Cricetulus griseus: one gene and its partners. The protein of the gene in region 4 interacts with the protein of the main gene of each other region in a pairwise test. Links are inferred from orthologs where the notes say so. Each region holds a gene or a part of one and is shown on either strand. Other genes may lie near its edges.

Region 1 (4,010 bases), on a different chromosome or scaffold from region 4:
GGCCAGCAGTCTTCAGGGACATCAATACAAATGTCTTCAACAAGGAGACACAGCTAAAGACTCACCTCATGCTTGGAGAAGAGCCGGACACCCTCCAGCTGGTGGAAAACTGGGTAGTGCTGGGAATCAATCTGGTCACGACGATACACATCACCCACCACGAGGAAGGCATTAAGTCCTGCATGCAGCAAGTCCCACTGGTGTGCTGATGTGTGTGCTCTCAGCATGTGCACCCGATTCAAGTAATAGTTGTCCCCCTTCTTCCTGCTGGGGTGGTCCGCTGGGATTAGCAGGCTATCAAAGTTCTGCCATGTAGTGACCACTGGCGGAAGCTGGTCATAGACGGAGAACAGAGGGGTCCTGGGTCGGCCCATGTACTGCCGGTAGAAGTGCTCCTTCACCCGCTCCTTGATCAGCCACAGAGGGTGGTACTTCTGGTTGTGCAGGTTCCTGCCCACCTTGGAAAGGACCTTCGGGGTGAGGTTGGTGTGGTCATCCTGAGGGTAGGATTTTCCCAGCAGCTCCACCACACTGCCTGGAGCACCTTGGGCAGCAAATTGTGATGCAGCTGGCCTTGAGCCCCAGGCCTGATGCTGATGGCATCTGAAGACATGGCTGATGTTCCTTACTAGGAAGGTGTGTTCATGGGCAGCTCTGATGAAGGCTGAACAGACCATCATGGAAACTTCTCACAAATTCTGGAAAGAATGCACAGAAATTGCACAAGTAAAGTTTCATTCTGTGGACAACAACGAATGTATTCTTGTGTTCTCTCAACAGGCTCACTACTTTCCTAGTGACATTCTGTCCCTGACATCACATGTCCCTGACATCACATGTCCCTGACATCACGGCCACACCACAGGAAGACAACTGAGAAAATCTATTCATAGGCCATTATAATTTGAATATTCTCCCCAGAATTCCTGTTGAAATTTCACTGCCATCTAATAGGATTAAAAGGTGCAAAGCACAAGGGCCCTACCTCTAGAACATGAGTGGGTTAATTAGTGTGGGAATGGGCTCCTCATACAAGGGTAAGCTCAAACTTTGTTCTCTCTCTTTTGCCACAAGATGATCAAACTAGAAGGGCCTGGCTTCATGGTAGTGCCTTGATCTTTAACACCAAACTCCAGAGCTGTGAGAAACAAGTTTCCTTTTATTATACATTGTTCAATCTGTGGTATTCTCTTATACCAAGAAAAAAAATGACTCTAGCTTGTTGGTGCACACCTTTAATCCTGCAACTAAGAGACAAAGGCAGGTGGATTTCTATAAGTTTGAGGCTATCCTGGTCTAGCATAGCAAGTCCCAGGCAGGTCAAGGTTACATAGTAAGACCCTGTCTCAAAATTTTAACTAATTAATAAATAAACAAACAAAACATGCTACGACAAAGCCTTAGTGTTTACTGCACTAAATCAGAATACTGAAGGTGCTTATAGGTCACTAATTTCTAGGTGTCCATCTTCTGTCATTTAAATTCTTTGCTCTATAGAGAAAAAGGCCTTCACATGCCACCTTGTTCAAATCTCATGAAGAAGAAAGCATTCTAAGCAACAACTACCTTTATTTTTACTACACTGTAACTTACAACCAAAAGAATCAGCAGAATGATCACCTGAAAGTTATCAGAGTCCATAGAGTTGGACTCACTCATTAAAGAGACTATATGTTCATATTAAGACTAAGACCTCTGATGGGCAACAAGAGAAGATTACAGAAAATACCCACACTTCACCTTTCTGCTCTCTACCCTTATAACTACAAAGCCCTCTTTTCCTTTTACAGAGAGTACCTACTGCCCTCTGGAATAATTCACAGAATAATAAAAAAAGCCATTAACTATACCTTTGAAAAAACATTTTGAATAGGACCTTGGGAGATGGCTCAGTTGATAAAGTACATGTAAGAGAGCCCACGTTTGGATCCCCTGTGCCCATGTAAAAAAAGATGGACACGACAGCAAGCATCTGGAAAACCATCATTGGGTCAGGGGCTCATGAGCCAGTCAGCCTAGCTAAACTGATGAGTTCCAAGTACACCGAAAGACTCTGTCTATAAAAATAAGGTGGGGAGTATGAGAGGTCCTGTCTCAAAACCAAGGTGGGAAATATCTGAGAAAATCATCCAATGTTGACCACTGGCTTCTACATGTACCTAAATGCACACAACCACATGAACACATATACACAGCACATACACAAACATCAGATCTTCTGAATAAAGTTATTACTTTAAATGGTAGAGAGTTACATTCAGTGATTCAAAAAAAAAAACTTAATGAAACAATACTAAGTAACAGACTATGCCAAGAGTGGGAAGAAATTATATTTGTGAATGTAAGTCTTCTTGCTCTTATTGGTCATGACATTTAATCTAAAACCCTTTGCATCATTCCATCAGTGACTATCCCTCCTCATAAAAGACAGTTTCTATTGTAATATGTGCACACAATAAGCCTAAAATAGAACAGAATTTACTGGAAAGGGGACACAAAGTTGACAGAAGATAGAGACTGACTCGGGGAGCAGCAAGAGAAAGAAAAATATATAACATTTTGTAAGATTATAGAATTTCCCAACTAATAGCCATCTCAGCAATCATGTGGGATAGATCATTGACTTCTCAGGTAAAATATGAATACCCAGGAATAGATGCCCAAACTCTATGCCTATTAGTGGAAAGACTATGATCTACTAACATTGTTTATGCTTTACATCTGGTGTAATTTAAAAAGCGGCACTCAAGAGAAAGATGCCATGTGATAGGCAGAGAGGGAGGAGACAGAGAGACAGGCAGAGAAGTAGAGAAGTAGAGAGAGAGATACAGAGAGAAAGAGAGACAGAGAGGGAGAGAAAGATAGGAGGTGGGCAGGGCCTTTTTAAAAGGGAATGTAGTGAATGTGCACAGGTTGTGCTCCTAGTGGCTGCTGCTAAGGATATATTCTGTCAGAACGCCAAGAGCAAGCCAGTACAGATGCCTGAATACTAACAACATCAAAAAAGGAGTTTTGAACTCCCTCAGGGACCATATTAACCAGGGTAACTAGAGATGAAAGTTGAAAATTTAGAAATAATTTAAGTTCTTAAACTTAAGTCACTCATTTTTTTTGAACATTCATTATGAGATAATTTAAAATATACAACTTGGTTACTTTCCTTCAATTCCACCAAAAATACATAACTCCATGGTCCATCAAAAGCCTATCTCACAGCACAACTGCCAGAGTCAAAATTCCAAGAGGGAAGAACTTCCTAGAAGCCTGTCCCTTAAACTATCATGATAGAGAAGCTTTCAGAGATTCCCAGGAATGCTCTGGAGTTATGCACATGGCATTGCTTTGTCAGAGTTATTTCTAGTGTTTTGGGCTGAGCTTCAACTGAAATCTGTCTTGCCGTCTACGTTGTTCAGTAACTTGTCCCTGCAGTAGATATGAATTTCAAATTTGCACATGCAGCCTTACACATCCCAGCACAAACCCACACTGTTAAGCTGCTAGTTACTCAGCTCAGTAGTCTTGGCAAGATATAAGAAAACATTTCTTTCTTCCACAAGCACATACTGTTATACAAAGTTTAGGACTGGTTGAAAGGGTACCTTTATACGGTTATTTATGGTTGCCAACTGTGTTTTATTTCATCAGCGTCTCATCTCACACACAAAAAGTCTTTCCAGGTTCCCATAGATGAACTTTATCCTAACATCCTGTAATGATCTTCTCACATGTCAAGCTTGTCCGTGAAAGTGTAATTTTTTTCATCCTCTTTTTGTAACTTTTGGTCCATCTGCTCAGCTCTAGTTTATGTCCATACTCTCATTTTCGATACCCAAACAATAATTCATTCTTTCTATTATCATCTCCTTTCAAGCAGGTCAAATGACTGGGATTGCTTTTTGGCTTTTATGAATTGAAAGCTTACCTCTGTCTCTACCAAATTTCTCCATGAGAAATGTCATCTGAAAATACAGGAGGCCCTGGAAGGCATCCCGAGACAGTGTTGTTCTACT
Region 2 (4,010 bases), on a different chromosome or scaffold from region 4:
GTCTAGATAGACCGTTGTGAGGAACAGGGTGAGGGTTCTATGGACACTAAGAAGCCACTCCTCTGAACTGGGAACAGAAAGAACCATGAATGACTCTCACCTCTAGCCACAGGGGAGGCAGGAACCTCCAGGGACTGAACCAAAACACAGAGCTTCAATAAATAACCAACTCTGTTTTATCCACACCCCAGTGAACTGACACAGTAACTGGAGAGAGCAGCCCTAATACCAAGTACCGGCTGGGTTGAGGGAGTGCTGACATCAGGTAACTCCAGTTAGCTTCCAGAAGTGAACAGGGACCAAAGCCTAGAATGGCAGAGAAAGCCAACCAGATCAATCCTCCTGCCCAGGACTAGAGCCACACACAGATGCTGTCGTAAGCCTTCGGTGCCTTAACCTAGGTCTTTAACTAGATCGTTGGTCACCAACTGGGCTCCTGGTGTCCTCCTATCCTCCCTGGACCAAGACAGGTGAGCGCTGTCATTCCATGGTGACAGGAACATCTTCTACATCTCTGGGGACTGCACTCTGGAGCTCACGTCTGATTTCCGGAGACAACTGTGGGTGGGGCTGCAGTCGAAGCAGTTCCAGGAGGGCCTCCTTCTGGTCCGTGGCCAAGTCGGCCTTGTAGCGTTGTGCCAATGTCAGGAGGCACTGGTGCCAGAGCACAGGCAGCTGGCGCTTCTCCGTCCGGAAGCCCAGAAAATGGAAGACCAGGGCGTCTAGCACCCGGTATGGCAACGCATACTTCTTATCTAACAGCAGGCGCAGGAAAATGCTGTTAGCGCCACTGTATTCCATCTCGGCAATCTTCAGCATGGCCGCACTAGGAGGGAAGCTGGAGTTAAGGACTAGTGGAGAGATTCTGGACAAAGTGTCTCCCCAGACTCACCCTAACCTAGAGCATTCCCAAGGTGTCCCCGCATCTCCTCATTAGTACACTCCTGGGATTGATTCTCTTTACCGCCTGTCTACATCCATCTCACACTTCTGCCTCTGGCCGGGATAGCAAACAATCCCTGCATTCAACTCGATAGGGTGTGTCTAAATGTCTCACCACTCCACCATTTTTCACACCTTTTTCTAGGTATCCATTCATTCATGCCGTCATTCAACAACTATTTACTGAACACCTACTGTGTGCCAGGTCTTTGGATCCTGCCCTCGAAGGCTTCTATTCTACTGGAGGAAATCATATACCTGCTGGTTTAAATAGCCACAGACTCTAGGTAATCATAGCTCATTCTCCCTTCTTGCCCTCCTGCCAAAGTTCTGGCCTCTCTACTACATGACTCTCCACCGACCTCACCAACACTACCTGGAGTGCAACACAGGGATGGAGCACTTGGTGATGATGCTGCCCACGATGATGGCTTCTCGGAGGGTACATGTGCCAGACTCGCACAATGGGATCAGGATTCCTAGGCAGAGTCATATACAGGGACTTTTAGTACCCAGCAACCCCATCATCTAAGGACCAACAGTGGAGATAGCCAGTTGCCAAGCAGAGTACTGACCCTTCCTTTCTCTCCTAATTCTGGGTTTTTACCTTTGAACCAGGCTCCAGGTTTGAAGAGGGCTTTCTTGAGTGCCATGTAGAGGTGAAAGTTGAGTCGTTTGTACTCTGCGATGTCATCTCGTACTCGGGGAAGCAGGACAAGGTTGTAGAAGCGCTGAGCCATCCGTTCTCTCAGATTAGAGGCAAAAATCCTAGCAAGGTGGGAGTTTGCAAGTCACAAGAGTCTGGCCCTGGCCTTTTAAGTATCACCATGCATGAGAGAGGTTTTAGAGTAAGATATGGGGACATCACTTCAGAGAGGGGTATGTGAAGTGGTATGTGAAAGGTTCAGGCATTATGCTGGCCTGCCTCTGTCACCTGGCAGAATCCACTCAGGCAGTACCCTGGTAAGCCCAGGGTTCCATGGGAACTAAGTCTGCACGCAGGTGGTATAGAGGAACCCTTTAAAAGACAGACCCTGCCCACTTACACTCTCTTCTCTTCTCTTCTGCTCTCTCTGCCTCTCTATGGCAACCGGTCATGGCGGTCAGCCATTAACCCCGTTCCTCTTCTTTCTTAGTCTCTACTCTACCGGGCTTATAATAAACTGGGTAATACATCTTAGTCTCATGTCTCATCTTGTGCCTCTTCTTCATTTCTAATTTAAACAAAAGAATAACAGTATGCACACCACACCCAGGTCAGCTTAAAGAGGAGCTACTTTGCCTGCAAGTAGGTCTGTGCACCATATATGTTCCTGGTACCCATCGGATTTCCTAGAGCTAGAGATGGTTGAAAGCCTCCACGTGGGTGCTGGGAATTGAACCCAGGTCTTCTAGAAGAACAAGTGCTCTTAACCACTGAGCCACCTCTCCAGACCTAGCATTTTTCTTTTGTTGGTTTTTCGAGATAGGGTTTCTCTGTGTGTAGTCCTGACTCTACTGGAACTCACTGTGCAGAGCAGGCTGGCCTAGAACTCACAGAAATCCACCTGCCTCTGCCTCCTGAGTACTGGGATTCAAAGTGTGCACCACCATTGCCTGGCCCCTAGTGTATTTCAGACAGTGCTGTTGCTTAGCCCCATGGCCTTTTGTGCATTATTTAAGCGAGGCACCTCGAGCTTCTTTCCCAGTCCAGTTTTTGGCTGGCTACTCTCCTTTCTCCACCATGAGGGACCTGAGGTCACCGGAGAATTCTCAGAATTCTCGAGCTACTCTTCTCTCACACCAGGGCTGTATCCTGGAAGCTATGTAGGCCCTTCCCATGGAAGTCTACCACAGGACTTTGTCCTGAAAACACAGGAGGAGAAGTTAAGGGAGTAGTAGGAACAAGTCCAAGGGAGAGAGCCATGGGCTGGCCAATGACATGGCTGAGGGAGGCAGAGTCTACTCACCACACCCTGCACCACAGATCAGCCGCCCTAGACCATCTACACTACCTGGTGGCTTGATACATAGCAGCTGCAGTCCAGGCCTCAGGCTCAGTGACATAGAGGATTTGCTCCCAGTTGGACAGTGCAGGGATGATCTTAAAAGCCTTGGGCAGTTTCCCACTTCGGTACTTGGATAACACCTGGAGATGGAGGAGGCAGAGCCATCAGCACCCACGGTTGAGGTCCTGGCCCCGTCCCTGCGTTTTCATGCGCGGCCTCACTTATCTTCAGAGCAACCCAAAAAGGCTCATTTCTCAGGTGACCAGAATTTAGTGACTAGACCCTGAGCCCACTGGTTCTGCCTCAGTCCTTTTCTGTCCTGGCCACCATGGCTCACTCGTCGGGTGCCATGTGTGAGAGGCTTCCTGTTAGGATACCCCACCACACATGCCCTCACAGTCCTTACCTCCCGGACTCCTCTGTAGACCTCCAGGACCCGGGGGTCCAGTTGAGGCATAGGGAAGCCCGACACCTCTGACATGACCGTCTCCACCTCTGTCTGCTTCTCTGTCAGCTTCTCCATGATGATGTCAGCCAGTGTGCGCCTATGGAGACAGAGGGGACAAGGGTGAAGAACTAGGGTCACTCTCCAGGAAGCTCTAAAGTCCCCTCACCCTGTTCATGAAAGGAAGGAAGGACAGACAGAAGACAGCCAGCCAGCCATAGTGGCACGAGCCTTTAAGGCCAACACTTGGGCAGATCTCTGTGAGGTTAAGGCCAGTGTGGTGGTCTTCATAGGGAATTCCAGGTCAGCCAGGACTCCGTAGTAAGACACTGTCTCAGAGGAAAAAAGGAGCCACAAAACAGTCCCCAAACAAATCAGGAATGCTGCACAAACTAGCATGTCACCCTTGCACAGGGGTCACTCTAGTCTGTGATATTGTTCCAGTTTTAGCATAAATGCTGCTATAAGCAACCAACTTACAACTCCTCTGGATGACGACAAACTTCACAAATTACTGCAGACAGTGAAGAACCTGAATGTCACCGCATTGAAGACAAAGCTAGCAGTGGAGTGGAGGTTAGGTCCTTGGACTGATGTCAGTTCTGCTCAGGTGTCACTCTTCTCTCCCCTGTATG
Region 3 (4,010 bases), on a different chromosome or scaffold from region 4:
CCTTTGGGAGCTGAGTAACCTTTTCACAGGGGCTGCATATCAGACATTTGCATTACGATTCACAACAGCAGCAAAATTACAGTTATGGAGTAGCATGAAATAATGTTATGGTTTGGGGGTTCACCACAACACGAGGAACTGTATTACAGGGTCACAGCATTAGGTCTAAGGCTTTGCCTATACCTGTGAGTGAAACACAGTGGGGTCCATTCGTGACTGGTTTACTTTCCCAACTGCCAGGTTTTCGGGTCTATACCTGCTGCAGGACCCCATGATAAGAGGGGTGTGTTCTGTCATCAGTCACCACAGGATGTCACCTGGGGATGTTCCATCCATCATCTGGCTGCTATGAGCAGTACAGATGAGGTGTGTGGAGAGGCGTCTGCAAGACATTTCCATTCTTCTTGGAGGCCAGCTGCAATGCACTCATCTGAGTTCATACTGAAGCCACCCAACTGACACATTTGATGGGAACATATTAAGTCCCTCCATTTCTCTACTTGACAGGACCACTGTACTAACTTTTCCCACAGCCTCCACCTGTAGATGGAGCTGAGAGGCTCTGGACAGTCTGCGAGTGTGCAGACCTTTACAGGATGCCTGGTCTCAAGCTGCCTCAGATGGTGTAACTCCCACATTTAAGTGATTGCAGGTGCCAGGTGACTTGAAAAATATGCTTCAGGGACTAGGTGCCATTGTAAAGTTGTAGGCCTCAGGTTAAGGTCTGCTTAAAGATCTACTTGGCAAATGGCTTTAGAAAATCCCTCTGTGGATTGCCCCACACAACACTGCAGAGGCTTCTTGCACAGCTGTACTCACAGACAGACGGGCTATAAGGAAGGCTGTGGACACATCTGCACAGCAGCTCCACACAGCAGCACAGCTTCCTGGGCTTTGGACCACGCACCTGAACATGTGCTTTGTGTTCTCCCTGCCTTGCTTTGGCCACTCAAGGTCAGCAGAGGGGCAAGGCATATGGCATCTGGCTCTAGGTAAGCAGTCCCAGAGGGAAGGCAGCTGGGCAGACCCACCTTGCTGAGGTGCAGCTGCTGCTGCTGGAACTGTTGCTTGTGCTTCTCCAGGAACTGCTGGTGCTGCTGCTGGATCACCAGGTGCTGCAGGGCCTGTGCGTTCTGCGGCAGGGGCGCTGACTGTGTGCGCCCCAGGGGGCGGTGCTGCCGCAACTTGTGAATGGATGGGGACACCCTGTCCGCACCAACCAGGGACTGTGTGTGGAGGGGCAGCGCCCCCAGGCCTGAAAGATACCAGTCTGAAGATAATATGGAGGAAAAAAAAACAGCAGAGGGGAAGAGGAAGAAGAGAGGGAGAGACGCTGTTGAGTAACCAGTGGAGAAAACCACATGCCTGCCAGCCCAGGTGCCTTCTATGAAACATGACTTTCTGCAAACAGGTCCAATTCCAGCTACAGGGTGTTAGCTTGGAGCCTGGGCTTCAGGGTGGGCAGAGTGTAATTGAAAGCAAGGCCACCTGAAGATCCCATCGATGCAGGCTCTCCAGGAACTCTGACAGAGGAGCGCTCCAGAAGTGTGGCAACAGCCTAGCATCAGCCTACCACACCTCTCACAGGTGTTCCAGAGGATGGCTGCTCTAGCTCTCCCACACACCCAATTGCCAGAGAGAATGCAGAGACAAACTGACAGTGAGACCCTGTCTCCATCAGACACCCAGGCACTGTCAAGACCTTGAGCTTCAACAAATCCCACCACTTTGTATCAGACACAGAGTGGTATCGGGAAAGGAGGGGAGGGTGGCACAGGGAAGGAAGCAAATCTTCTCCAGGGGCAGGAGAGTGGGGCTTCACAGAGAGCAGGCAAATTCAGTGAGAGCACAGCATGCAGACGGTGGAGAGCAGAGGCAGCAGCTGCAGGACAGTGGGCAGACGTGAGCTCAAAGCAGTGGGAAGGGCCTAGAGAAGAATGTTTGCTTCCACATACTTTCCCTGGTCAGTCGGCCCAGGAGGAGGACTGTGGTGAAGGCTGGCATCTGTGCTAAGAGCTGACTGACCCCTTTGCCAGTGGGCACTGTCCTGAGATGAGCAGCTCATAAGTAGTGGGATGCTGTACTATGACTTTGGCTTGAATGCTCATAGGCTTGGGCACTACACACAGTATCATTTATCATTGCTCTAGACAATAGGGAACTTGGGCCTCTAAGGACAGCTATGGCTGAGCATAAGAAACCCTGTTCAGGTTCCTCTCCTCAGAGAACAGAAGAAACCCAATGAGATGCAGCATCAGGACCACATGACATGGAGGAGGTGGGGCACTAGGAAGAATGGGTGGAATTATTGGGGGAAGAGTGTGGAGGTCTGACATCCCAGCACTTAGGAGACTGAGGAAGAGAATCAGAGTTTGAGGCTAGCCTGGGCAACATCCTAGCACTTAGGAGACTGAGGCAAGAGAATCAGAGTTTGAGGCTAGTCTGGGCAACAAAGTAAGATTTAGTATCAAAACAGTAACAAAGGACCAAATAAGTAAACAGACAAAAACCAAAACCACCAAATCCAACACAAGAGGAACAGCCTCAACCAGGAGACTAACACCGACCAGGTTGCTGGGTGTCAGATGCTGCATATGGGAACTGAAGTGTCATCACTCTGTGCTAGCATCTCACTCACAGGTGGGAAGATGAAGCCCACAGCGAGCAGTTTCCCAGAGAACAGACAGGAAGGGGCCTGAACATAATGAACAACTCATGGTTGTTCACTGGGACACTGTTCTCCAGAGCTGCGGCAGGGGTGTCCATTATTTCTCAGACGATACCAGTGGCCAGAAATGCTATTTCTGTCCAGATCAGTGGTTTGGGAGAGCCAAGTGCACATTGGAGATGAAAAAGCACAAGGCAGAACACAATACCAAGTGCTACAGATTGACTCATACCAGCAGGTGGAGGTACTCCAAAACACCAGTCAGAGGCTGGCCCAGGGGAACATGGGAACATGTACAAGCCAGTCCTAAAATTGCTCTGGCCATGATTCTGAGTGAAGCAATAGCTGTGAGGAAGTCACCCACAGACCTAAGGATGACATACAGCTGGGCAAGGCCACTAATAGGTAGGGCTCTGTGTCACTTCTTAAACAGTCTCTTTATAGCACATTCACTAGGTAAACTGCACGAGTTTCCTATCTTTCTCTAACTTGTATTTTTCTAAATGTAATCATCCTCAAGCAATCAGGGGTCTGTCCAGTCAATTCTGAATTCCATGCACTGGCTTCCTTGAGCTGCAGGGAAACCTGTCTGAGGAAGAGCAGGAGGCTAAACAGAGGGCACTGGCATTGACTTCTACCTCTTGGCCAGCTTTCTAAGGAGGACACAGATCCTTGTCAGAGCTGAGGTAGGTATCACATAACAGGGACCCAGAGTGACTACTGTTGTGTGGGCTACAAGAGGCCAATGAGACTGACCTAACTGCCCAGAGACCTGGCGATGTTTCTTACCTGTGACAAGGGGTGTCTGGGTGGGGGCCTGCTCCAGCAGGACCATATGCTGCAGGAGGGGGTTGTGAGCTGCTCCACCATCCCGCTCCAAGGGTGAGGTGCTCAGGTATGGGGTGAGGTGGGTGCCAGGGAACAAGGAGATCCGCTGCTGGAGGGCTGGGAGAGCAAGCCTCTCAGTATCCTGCTGGCCCGCCGCACCCTGAAAGGTACAACCAGGATATTCTTCAGGCTGTGGGGATGGAGGCAGACAACCACCCCATGTCATCCAGACCCACGGAGACCAACTTACAGCGGCAGGGCCGGTGGCAGGAAGCCCCAAGGTGATGTTGGGTAAGGATGGAGATGTGTAGAGAGGGAGTGGGGCGACTGAGCCTTCTCGAGTCACAAGTCTGTGTGCCAAGCTTGTCTGTAAACAGAAGACTTCGTGACTATCAGAGTCTGCCACAGATGTTTCGTCACAAGTGGCACATCCAGGACTGCGGGGGTCGGGTGTCACCACTTACAGTATTAGGGGCTAACATGTAGGTACCTGGTACAAAAACAGGCTGCACAG
Region 4 (4,644 bases):
TGATTCAAATTCTCTTGGCTGAATTCCTTTTTATTACTTCTGTTTAAGAAAGAATTAAAAAAAATTATATGTATGTGTGTTACTACATGGAATTGGAATTATGGGCAGCTGTGAGCTCCCTGAAATGGTTGCTGGGTACTGATCTTGGGTCCTCTGGAAGAGCACCAAGCACTCTTAACTGCTGGGCCATTTCTCTATCTCCCTCTTTTTCTTAGTTTCAAGTGTCTCAGTTTCTTCATTTTCAAAATGGCTATAATACTGTTCTCTTTTCCAGAGGGTTATTGTGAAACAGGGAAGAGTTAGACAATAAATTTATAAAATTCTTGAGAAATGCTAAGGTATCTGTAATTGTCAGCTGTTACTACCATCAAAATATGCAAAGAATACATTTTTGTTTTACTTTATTATGTAACTCTGCATTTCATTCTTAAGCTTATAATAGAAACAAGATTATAAATGTACAATATCTAAAAAATATTACTCCTAATATTGCATGACTATTTATTCCTTTTTTGGAAGTGGATACAGCTCTATTTTCTTGTTGTACAGTAGAGCTACAGAAATAGCCATTAGTGGAGTTAATTCTTCACCCAAGCAATGGCAGGAGGGAGAGTGGCCTCACCCTGGCACTTGGGGCGGGTGATGTTATGCAACAATACACACTGTATGTCACATCTACCTTGAGAGACACTGGGATGCTCAAACCACACAGTGGGCCTGCCTCTGGTTTTGTTCCAGCTTAGTCAGTGTCTGCCCTGGTTCAGTTTATACCCATGAAATCTCTCGGTAGAACTCTCCCTATAGTCCTTGGCACAGTGGCCACTTCACTTACCTCTTCGTGGCTTTTCTTAAGGCAAAGGAGATCACTTTTCAGGGACTCCACGTGGGCCTCCAGATCTGACTTGCACAGGGTCAGTTCACCCAGGATCCCACGAAGGCCACCGATGTCATTCTCCACCAGCTGGCGAAGAGACAGTTCACTCTCATACCTTTCACAGCAAGAGAAAGAAAAGGGAGTGTGTTACTTGGCTAAACACTGACCAAAGTGCCGGGGTACAAGGATGAGTGACATGTGGCCTCCAGGGAGACACATGTCACAATTCCCCGGGTATCCCAAATGATGGTGAATTCAAGTTTCAAACATTCTAAATTAAAAAAAAAAGATCTCATGCAGAGAATTCTCTATCACTGGAGGCCATTATTATTTTCAAATTAAATTTAAGATTTAGAATGCAATTTGTATACATAAAATACAATGTGGTTTAAAAAATAAATACAATTTGACTTACTTTGACCTAAAATCATCAGCAGCCAGTTTGCAGTTGTCCACCTGTACGGCAAGTCTAGAATTCTCTGCCTTCGTGCACAGTATCTAAGAGGCAAGTCATTATGTAATCAACAGCTCTTTGGAAGAAACCCACATTTCTGTTTTAACAGTCTGCCATTCATTAGCTTAACAAAATTAGCATAACATAATTTTCAGCCTATAACTATACCATGGAGAAAAAAGGAGACATGCAGTGCCAATTTAGAAACAAAATACAGACATAAAAATAGGTTCTCTTTCTAAAAAAAGATTTTATCTTTTTTCCAATTGTGTGTGAGAGTGTGTATGTATTTGATCTCTCTCTCTCTCTCTCTCTCTCTCTCTCTCTCTCTCTCTCTCTCTCTCTGACTCTGTGTGTGTGTGTGTGTAGACTTGTTCTTTGCCTTAGGATGCCAGAAGAGAGTGTCAGGTCCTCGGGAGATGAACTTATAGGTGGTTGTGAACTGCCATATATGGGTATTGGGAACTGAACTCAGGTTGCTCATGAGCGCTACAGTGCTGCTATCCACTGCTGAGTCATTTCTGCATCTCAAGGTTTCCTTTATAAGTGACACAAGGCAGGACATTTGGCAGTCATCATTGACAGCTGAGCTTTGTTAGTTTTCTCCACTGCTAATATTTATTAGAGTTGCATCTCTGTCTGTGGTCATAGAAATTCATCAATGAAAAAAGAAAGAAGGCTTTGTCAGTAGAGCATTTGCAATACAAGTAGGAGGACCCAGGTTCAAACCGTAGAACTCATGTATAGAAAGCTAAGTATAGCAGTGTGTGCCTGTTACCCCTGCAAGGGGAGACAGAGACAGCAGTATCCCTGGGACTCTCTGGCCAGCCACCCAGTGAGTCAAATCAGTGAGCCCCAGGTCCCTTGAGAGACTCTGTCTCAAAACACAAGGCGGGGAGTGGAAGACGCTTGCCATTGACCTCAGGCCTCATTGACAGCATGTATTCCCTCTCTACATGCACACGAAAGGAAAATGATTACCAGGTGAACTAAAAGAGATGGCATTTGATGTCTGTTTGATAAGGAATATAAATAAGTAATGATACATGCAGAACAGATTTTAGATATCATAATTCAGATTCCCCCTCTCTGTAGATGACATAGTCTACACACAGACATGACATTTCTATGGTCAATAGTGCTGATACTGAGACAGATTTCTTGCCATCTATGGCCCTCTTTTCCTGGCAGCATACCAGCTCTGGGAATCCCTCCTCCCTGGTTTTACATCCATAAAACAACCCGCGCCACTGTAAATATAAGAGAATTCTGAAACAGGAAACAGAGAACATTAGGGAATGAGACACACAACCTTTTGCTGGAGTTCTTCAATGGTGTCGAAGTAACGCTGATAATCTGGGCACACCAATGGGGCATCGGGCTCGCATTGCTCTCGGATCCTGCATTCGAGCTCCGCATTGTTCTCCTCCAGGCTTCTCACCCTTTCCAGGTAGCTGGCCAGTCTGTCATTCAGGAACTGCATCGTCTCCTTCTCATTGCTGTTGAACGCCCCTTCCTCGCACCATGCACAGCTCCCCACCAGGCACGGACTGTTACAACCGCCAGCGAAGTAGCAGGGTGAGAGGCGACCGGCTGAGAGGTGAGCCCTGCAGAGGAAGCTCGGGGTCTGACATCTGGATGTGGCACAGGTACTGGGCAGGCAAGTTGTATCGGTGGGACAGGGTGAGGCAGCCGCACAGTCCGGAGCCTCTGCACAGGGCTCAGAGGAGCAGCACCCAGGGGAGCCATCAGAAGCCATCTTCTGTGAAGGAATGAACAGACCGGATGCTGTAGTGCCGAGGTCTTGTCTCCAAACATCTCCTTCCCCCCCTGAGACCTTTATATCACCCTTCAAATGGGTGTTTACAGGCCACACCGATGTTTCCTCTAGCACCGCGGGTGCTAGTTTTCCTACAAACATCTCATTAGTGTTGCTTATTTACCGAGGAAGTTTTATGCCTCGTAAAAGGAGGATAAGTTCAGGTTACTAAATCAGGACGACTGTCATTTCCACGTGTTGCTTGGATAAAATCCTTATTTTAGCGAATAGCCATAGGAAACATTATCCCGTTGAAAGAATAAGGAACCCAAGAGAAAATCTGAGCCATTGGTAATCATAGGTAGAGCTCATTAGAGATACAGAAAGTAATATTTCCATAGGTTTTGATTTTGAAAATCGATTGCTCTTGTCTACTTTAAAAGTGGACACCACAGCTCATTAAATTGCATGTATTTGTTTGTGCTACCAGCCACCACAATGATAGTTAGCAATCGTGAAGGGCATGCATGCCTGCGTGTGTGCGTGCGTGCGTGCGTGCGTGCGTGTGGTGTGTGTGTGTGTGTGTGTGTGTGTGTGTGTGTGTCCTTGAAGCCTGTGCTTACATGGTAAAGAGAAAGGTGTATATACTGAGTGTAAAGCACGTGAGATCATTTTATACAACAATGAGAATAAGTTGTGTCCTGTGAGCCAAGACAGAAAGTGGTTGTCAAGATCTGAATTGTGGTCTTTGGTTATCTCAAACATTCTATCGCTAGCCAAACAGTGATCATGACCACCCCTGCTTAGTTTTTGAGATTGGATATGCTCAGAGTGGATGGTCATACACATAAGCTTTGCCTTCTCGTATTTCCATGTTAGATTCCTTATGCTACTTTTAAAAAGCTGTTATCATTCATTTATTTTGGTGTTGAGGCTCAGACATAAGGTATTGTGTTATTCTTTTGTTTAAAAAGAAGAAAAGAGAAATATTGAGACAGACATATTGACTTAAGACTATAAGTTTATTATAAGGCCCGGTAGAATGGAATGGGGAGACTAAGAGGGACAGGGTAATGGCTGACCGCCATGGCCGGTCGCCATAGAGAGACAGCGGGGAAACAGAGAGAGGGGACAGAGAGCAGGAACAGGGGGAGAGAGAGAGAGCGCGCGAGCGTAAAGGGGCAGAGAGAGAGAGAGAGAAAGGTGCAGGGGCCTATCTTTTAAAGGGGTCCTCTGCACCTGCGTGCAGACTTCTTTCCCATGGAACCTTGGGCTGACCAGGGTATTGCCTGAGTGGATTCCACCAGGTAACAGGGGCAGGCCAGCATAATGCCTGAACCTTTCATATTGTTCATACTACATATATGATATACCTCAAACTTCAACCCCAGTACCTATATTTGCAAGGACAGTGGAGATATAAGTTGTGGTGAAGGTTTGGGAAACCTTATTGATTATACTTAGGGAGAGTCAAGGAAGCCACAAAAATCTAATCGCCTGTTATATGGGGGTCTGTTCCCTCTTGTTTATTTAGGAACGTCTCAATTGCCTGAAAAT
Region 5 (4,010 bases), on a different chromosome or scaffold from region 4:
ACCATAATACAGTCGTGGTGCTCCGCACCTTCTTACCTGCTGTAGGGCGTCCTCAGCAGCAGGGCCTGGCTGCCGGTGCAGCTGTCCGAAGGGGTGTGGCAGCCATACACCGGGGGCGGCACCGAATATTGCTGCTCGCCTGCCAGAGAGCCAAGGGTGGTAGTGAGCGGGACTCAAGAGTGTGAGGCACAGGCAGGGGTTCTGGTGCGAGGGAGAGCGTGCTGAGCTTCGGACAGTATGGCCAGCCATGTGACAAAAAGGCCGCTCTCAATCCAAGGGAACGAAAACTTCCTCACTTCAGGTTGCATTGCCATCACTCTCTGGCATTGGTTGCCTTGTCTGAGTGGCGCTTTTTTGTAACTTACTTAGAATGGACAGAGCTGTGATCTTTCAAACAGAGGAAAGCCAGCTATTATTTCTAGATCCCTTTAGATGTACTCTATCCCCTTTCCCAATTTGGTAAGGCTTAGATCCGCGCAGGAAGCGGTGCAATACGTGGAGGCAGTGGGTAAAGACCCGCATCTTTTCCATCCACTTACCCAGAGAGCCCTGCTGGCTCATGGGGTCCTCGTGTTTGAAGGAGTGGTTGGGAAACTGCGCTGCATGGTGCGAGGGCGTGTGGCCGTAGCTGGGTGCCCCTTCGAAAGTGACCGTGCTGTATCCTGAGGAACCGACAGAAAGAAGCACAGAGTCAGTTAGGCTCGGGGAAAAAGCAGGAGCATTGGCGCGACTAGAACTCGGGTGATAATCGGGTACCTGACTTTGGACCCTCCGACTAGAACCTCATTCAGGCTTAAAGCAGGCATGACCTCATCCATACTTTTTCCCAACTAAAATCCCAAGCTCCTTCTGTTCCCCAATTCTTCTATGTTTCAGTCTTCCATTGCTGAATAGAGCCTCCCCAAGTTAGGTGTAAAAACCGTCGCCCGCCTGGCGGAGACTGTCTTTCTTAAAAACAAACAACACCGAGGTTCTCGCGCAAGGGCGGCTCGGCCCAGAGGACTGAGTTTCCTCCGCTGACCCCGCTTTGACTCAGGGCTGTAAATCAGGGGCCGTGCACCAACTTCCATTAATTACTGGGGCCAGTTCAGCGGTCTGCGCTTTAAAAGCAGAGAGAACTACCAGGGCACATTACCTCTCTGGGCTGCACAGCCTGACACCAAGACACCGAAAGCCTTTAGGAAGGTTTGTGTGGCTGGAAAAGGAGGACCCTCGCAGCTGGGTCGAGTCCTTCTTCCCCTCCCACGCCTACCCGGGGCTCAGAGGGCCCAATTTTGACCACTGCTGTAATGACTAACCTTTCAGTGTGCGGGACACTGACCTTAACTGTCCCTGGGTAGCAGTGTCTCAGTTCCTTGCCTCAGTTTCCCTTCTGAGAAACAGAAACTGGTGCTCTTTCCTATCACCCAAATGGATGAAAAGCAATGTCGAGTCTTGGAAATCTCATTCTTGAATTGATATTGTTATTAAATTTCTATAAATACATATCCCACCTGCTTTGCCAAAGCTCAAGTTGGTGCAAGAGATGGCATCCTAAGAATCCTCCTAGGGACTTTATGAGGGTGGGGCCTCCTCTTCCTGTGGTGAAGTTAGGAAGAGGGAACCCAGACTGGCAGGATAGAATGCAAATGAGGCTGGACCCTGAGAATGGCCCCTTCAGGGCAATCACTAGAGCCCCAATGGCTTCCTACTGCGCAGCCTCTAAAGCCAAAAAAAAACAAAAACAAAACAAAAACCTCTAGAAATTAAGGTAAAACAAAGTCCCCACTCTTGCACCAGTTGATCAAGGTTCTTCAATAAGGGATGGCCGAGATCATTCATTCTGTATAGAGACAGGAGGCCAGTTATCTCCAACGTCAAAATTATAGAGGGCGACACCCACTGCCCAAACTATCCGGGTCACTCCGGAGCAGTAAATGTACACGGCCAGATTGACGTGTTTCACAGTGAAGGGATAGGAATTACCGAGTTATGTCCCTCGAAGACAAGTGCCCCGGGAGCTCTGGTTAGTGAATGGGGGAATCAGTCAGCTTTTCAACCTGAGTGAGCCCAGAGTGCCTCATTTTTCTTCCTGTGAAGTGGAGAAAGATAATCTCCAACCCTAATAGCTCTTGGGTGTGGATCAATAAGCACATCTGGCCTTCCAGGGACTTCCTTTTCAGAGAAAAGCCCTGGTCCTACTTGAGGCCTACAGCTTACAAACGAAATTTGGATCTAGGCACCCACCCGAGTTTTCCCATCAGAAATGAGGAGTTTGTGAAAGAGCACTTAAACAAAAAAGGGGGGACGCGGGGGAGGAAGTAGAGGCAATAAAGAAAGTTTCTCTAAACGAACCCTTCTCCATTTCTGAGCCGAGCAGCCAAAGACCTAAGGCACGCACAGTCTGAGACCCGCTGCTCAACCGCAGGTGGCAAGAGCTGCTGGTGCCAGGCTGCAGCTCCCACGCTGGGGACCTCCACTCGGCGCTCTGGAACTCCGGCTTGAGGATGCGGGAGTCCGACAAGGCTCCCTACCCACCTAGTCGGTGGTGAGACGACGACCTCGGCAGGCAACCTCGAGCCCCTCCCTTGGGGCTCCTGGGAGGGGCAACAGTGAAAGCCGCGGGATCCGAGGGAGAGCTCTTTTAATTAGAAGCTTATCAGAATCAGTGCTGATTAGGAACCCGCTGTACCGGGACTGAGCTGAGCCCATCTCGAAGAGGGTGGGAGTGAGAGTCGGGGGAGAGACTGCTGACTCTGCGAAGTATCAAAAGTGTTCAAAAGCTTCTTGTCCAGGCCTTGCAGGGAGAGACCCTCGAGGCCAAGGTAGCCACTTTCCCACGATTGGTCTGGACCAGGGAGGGGACAGCAACCTTGACCTTGCAGGAAGGAGCACAGCGCCCTGAGCACTCCTCCCCTGCCTCCACTGTGGAGGAGCCCGGAACAGGCTGCCCCAGCCTGGTCCTGTGGAGCTGATGAGGAGATCCTACAACAGCTAAGCCTGGGAGGTGTTCCGGAAAACCTTGCTGCCATGAGATAGGTGGAGTCCTCACTCCCACCCAACTACTGTCTTTGATGTAACCCGAGGGGGGCGCCTTTGGCCCCATCACAGCTGGTCTTCCTCTCGTGACTAGCTTCGGAAGGGCTGATCCCCGGGCTCTAAGCTCACGCTGATGTGAGCACTAGCTACTAGCTAGTGCTGGGAATGGGTGTGGGGTGTCAGAAGCCGACTGTCAAGGCCACATTGGGGCCAGACTAGGAAAATCCTCACCCTCACTTCTGGGTCCTGACAAACTTTCCAACCATCTCACACTCACAAGTTGTCAGGGCCTATTCAACCGCGCAGAGAAAATCCACCTCAATCACACAGTCAAAATTTCTGGGGGGGGGGGGTGGAACAGAAGAAAAATATGGGTTCAAGTCCTAGCTCTGCCAAAACCTAAGAGGCCTCTTGAAGTCTAATCCCCTAGTGCCTAGACTTCAGTCCCTAGTATTAAGAGGCTCACTCCTTCTATCTCGGGCTATGTGCTTCTTGTAAAGGTTCCTATAGCCATTAACTGTCTTAATAGAGAATCTACACCCCCTCCCCACCAAGTAATGTTTTGGTGTTTGCTAAATTTATGTTTAGACAATTAGGGTGGCAGCTATATAAGAAATATATATAAGAAATATATATATATATATATATATATATATATATATATATATATGAAGGGATGAGTGAGTGTCATAGTTAGGCTCCCTGGTTTGTATACAGGTAACTAGAGCCAGCTTGAATTCTTCACAGTGGAATCAGAGTAAAGCATGATGGTGGCCATTCTCACACTTTCCAGGGACAGCTGGCATCTCCCAATCAAAACCCCAAACTAAATCCTGAATTATTGAACTGACCTACAGGAACTCCAGAAGTAAAAGGAATGGATATTCAAAGGATTTGGGAGCTCAAGAGTCTGCCCTAGTTGCTACCTGGAGTTGGTGGGGGGGGGGGCAGCAGCTTCACAATTCCCAGACTGTACCTGTACAACCCACTTG

What was found. The genes of interacting proteins can lie anywhere in the genome.
Region 1: the proteins of keratin, type I cytoskeletal 40 (region 4) and Fars2 interact in binary tests that used the Homo sapiens proteins (3 or more experiments, as listed by UniProt). The two-hybrid records come from large-scale screens. The link is inferred for Cricetulus griseus from reciprocal best matches to the Homo sapiens genes KRT40 and FARS2.
Region 2: the proteins of keratin, type I cytoskeletal 40 (region 4) and bystin interact in binary tests that used the Homo sapiens proteins (3 or more experiments, as listed by UniProt). The two-hybrid records come from large-scale screens. The link is inferred for Cricetulus griseus from reciprocal best matches to the Homo sapiens genes KRT40 and BYSL.
Region 3: the proteins of keratin, type I cytoskeletal 40 (region 4) and Hdac4 interact in binary tests that used the Homo sapiens proteins (3 or more experiments, as listed by UniProt). The two-hybrid records come from large-scale screens. The link is inferred for Cricetulus griseus from reciprocal best matches to the Homo sapiens genes KRT40 and HDAC4.
Region 5: the proteins of keratin, type I cytoskeletal 40 (region 4) and Wt1 interact in binary tests that used the Homo sapiens proteins (3 or more experiments, as listed by UniProt). The two-hybrid records come from large-scale screens. The link is inferred for Cricetulus griseus from reciprocal best matches to the Homo sapiens genes KRT40 and WT1.

The regions. Positions count from the first base shown.
Region 1 is NC_048596.1:255,922,835-255,926,844, reverse strand, and holds part of Fars2 (phenylalanine--tRNA ligase, mitochondrial), read right to left. Parts: intron 699-4,010; 5' UTR 681-698; coding exon 66-680; intron 1-65. UniProt on the Homo sapiens protein: Is responsible for the charging of tRNA(Phe) with phenylalanine in mitochondrial translation.
Region 2 is NW_023276806.1:255,587,233-255,591,242, reverse strand, and holds the end of bystin, read right to left. Parts: intron 3,847-4,010; exon of another isoform or gene 3,745-3,846; intron 3,476-3,744; coding exon 3,337-3,475; intron 3,071-3,336; coding exon 2,937-3,070; intron 1,711-2,936; coding exon 1,550-1,710; intron 1,422-1,549; coding exon 1,319-1,421; intron 827-1,318; coding exon 481-826; 3' UTR 154-480; downstream 1-153. UniProt on the Homo sapiens protein: Required for processing of 20S pre-rRNA precursor and biogenesis of 40S ribosomal subunits. May be required for trophinin-dependent regulation of cell adhesion during implantation of human embryos.
Region 3 is NC_048595.1:443,482,116-443,486,125, forward strand, and holds part of Hdac4 (histone deacetylase 4), read right to left. Parts: intron 3,864-4,010; coding exon 3,747-3,863; intron 3,657-3,746; coding exon 3,458-3,656; intron 1,271-3,457; coding exon 1,032-1,270; intron 1-1,031. UniProt on the Homo sapiens protein: Responsible for the deacetylation of lysine residues on the N-terminal part of the core histones (H2A, H2B, H3 and H4).
Region 4 is NC_048600.1:113,048,758-113,053,401, reverse strand, and holds the start of keratin, type I cytoskeletal 40, read right to left. Parts: upstream 3,088-4,644; coding exon 2,641-3,087; intron 1,373-2,640; coding exon 1,290-1,372; intron 990-1,289; coding exon 833-989; intron 1-832. UniProt on the Homo sapiens protein: May play a role in late hair differentiation.
Region 5 is NC_048599.1:72,536,376-72,540,385, forward strand, and holds part of Wt1 (Wilms tumor protein), read right to left. Parts: intron 2,345-4,010; coding exon of another isoform or gene 2,335-2,344; intron 663-2,334; coding exon 540-662; intron 140-539; coding exon 37-139; intron 1-36. UniProt on the Homo sapiens protein: Transcription factor that plays an important role in cellular development and cell survival. Recognizes and binds to the DNA sequence 5'-GCG(T/G)GGGCG-3'. Regulates the expression of numerous target genes, including EPO.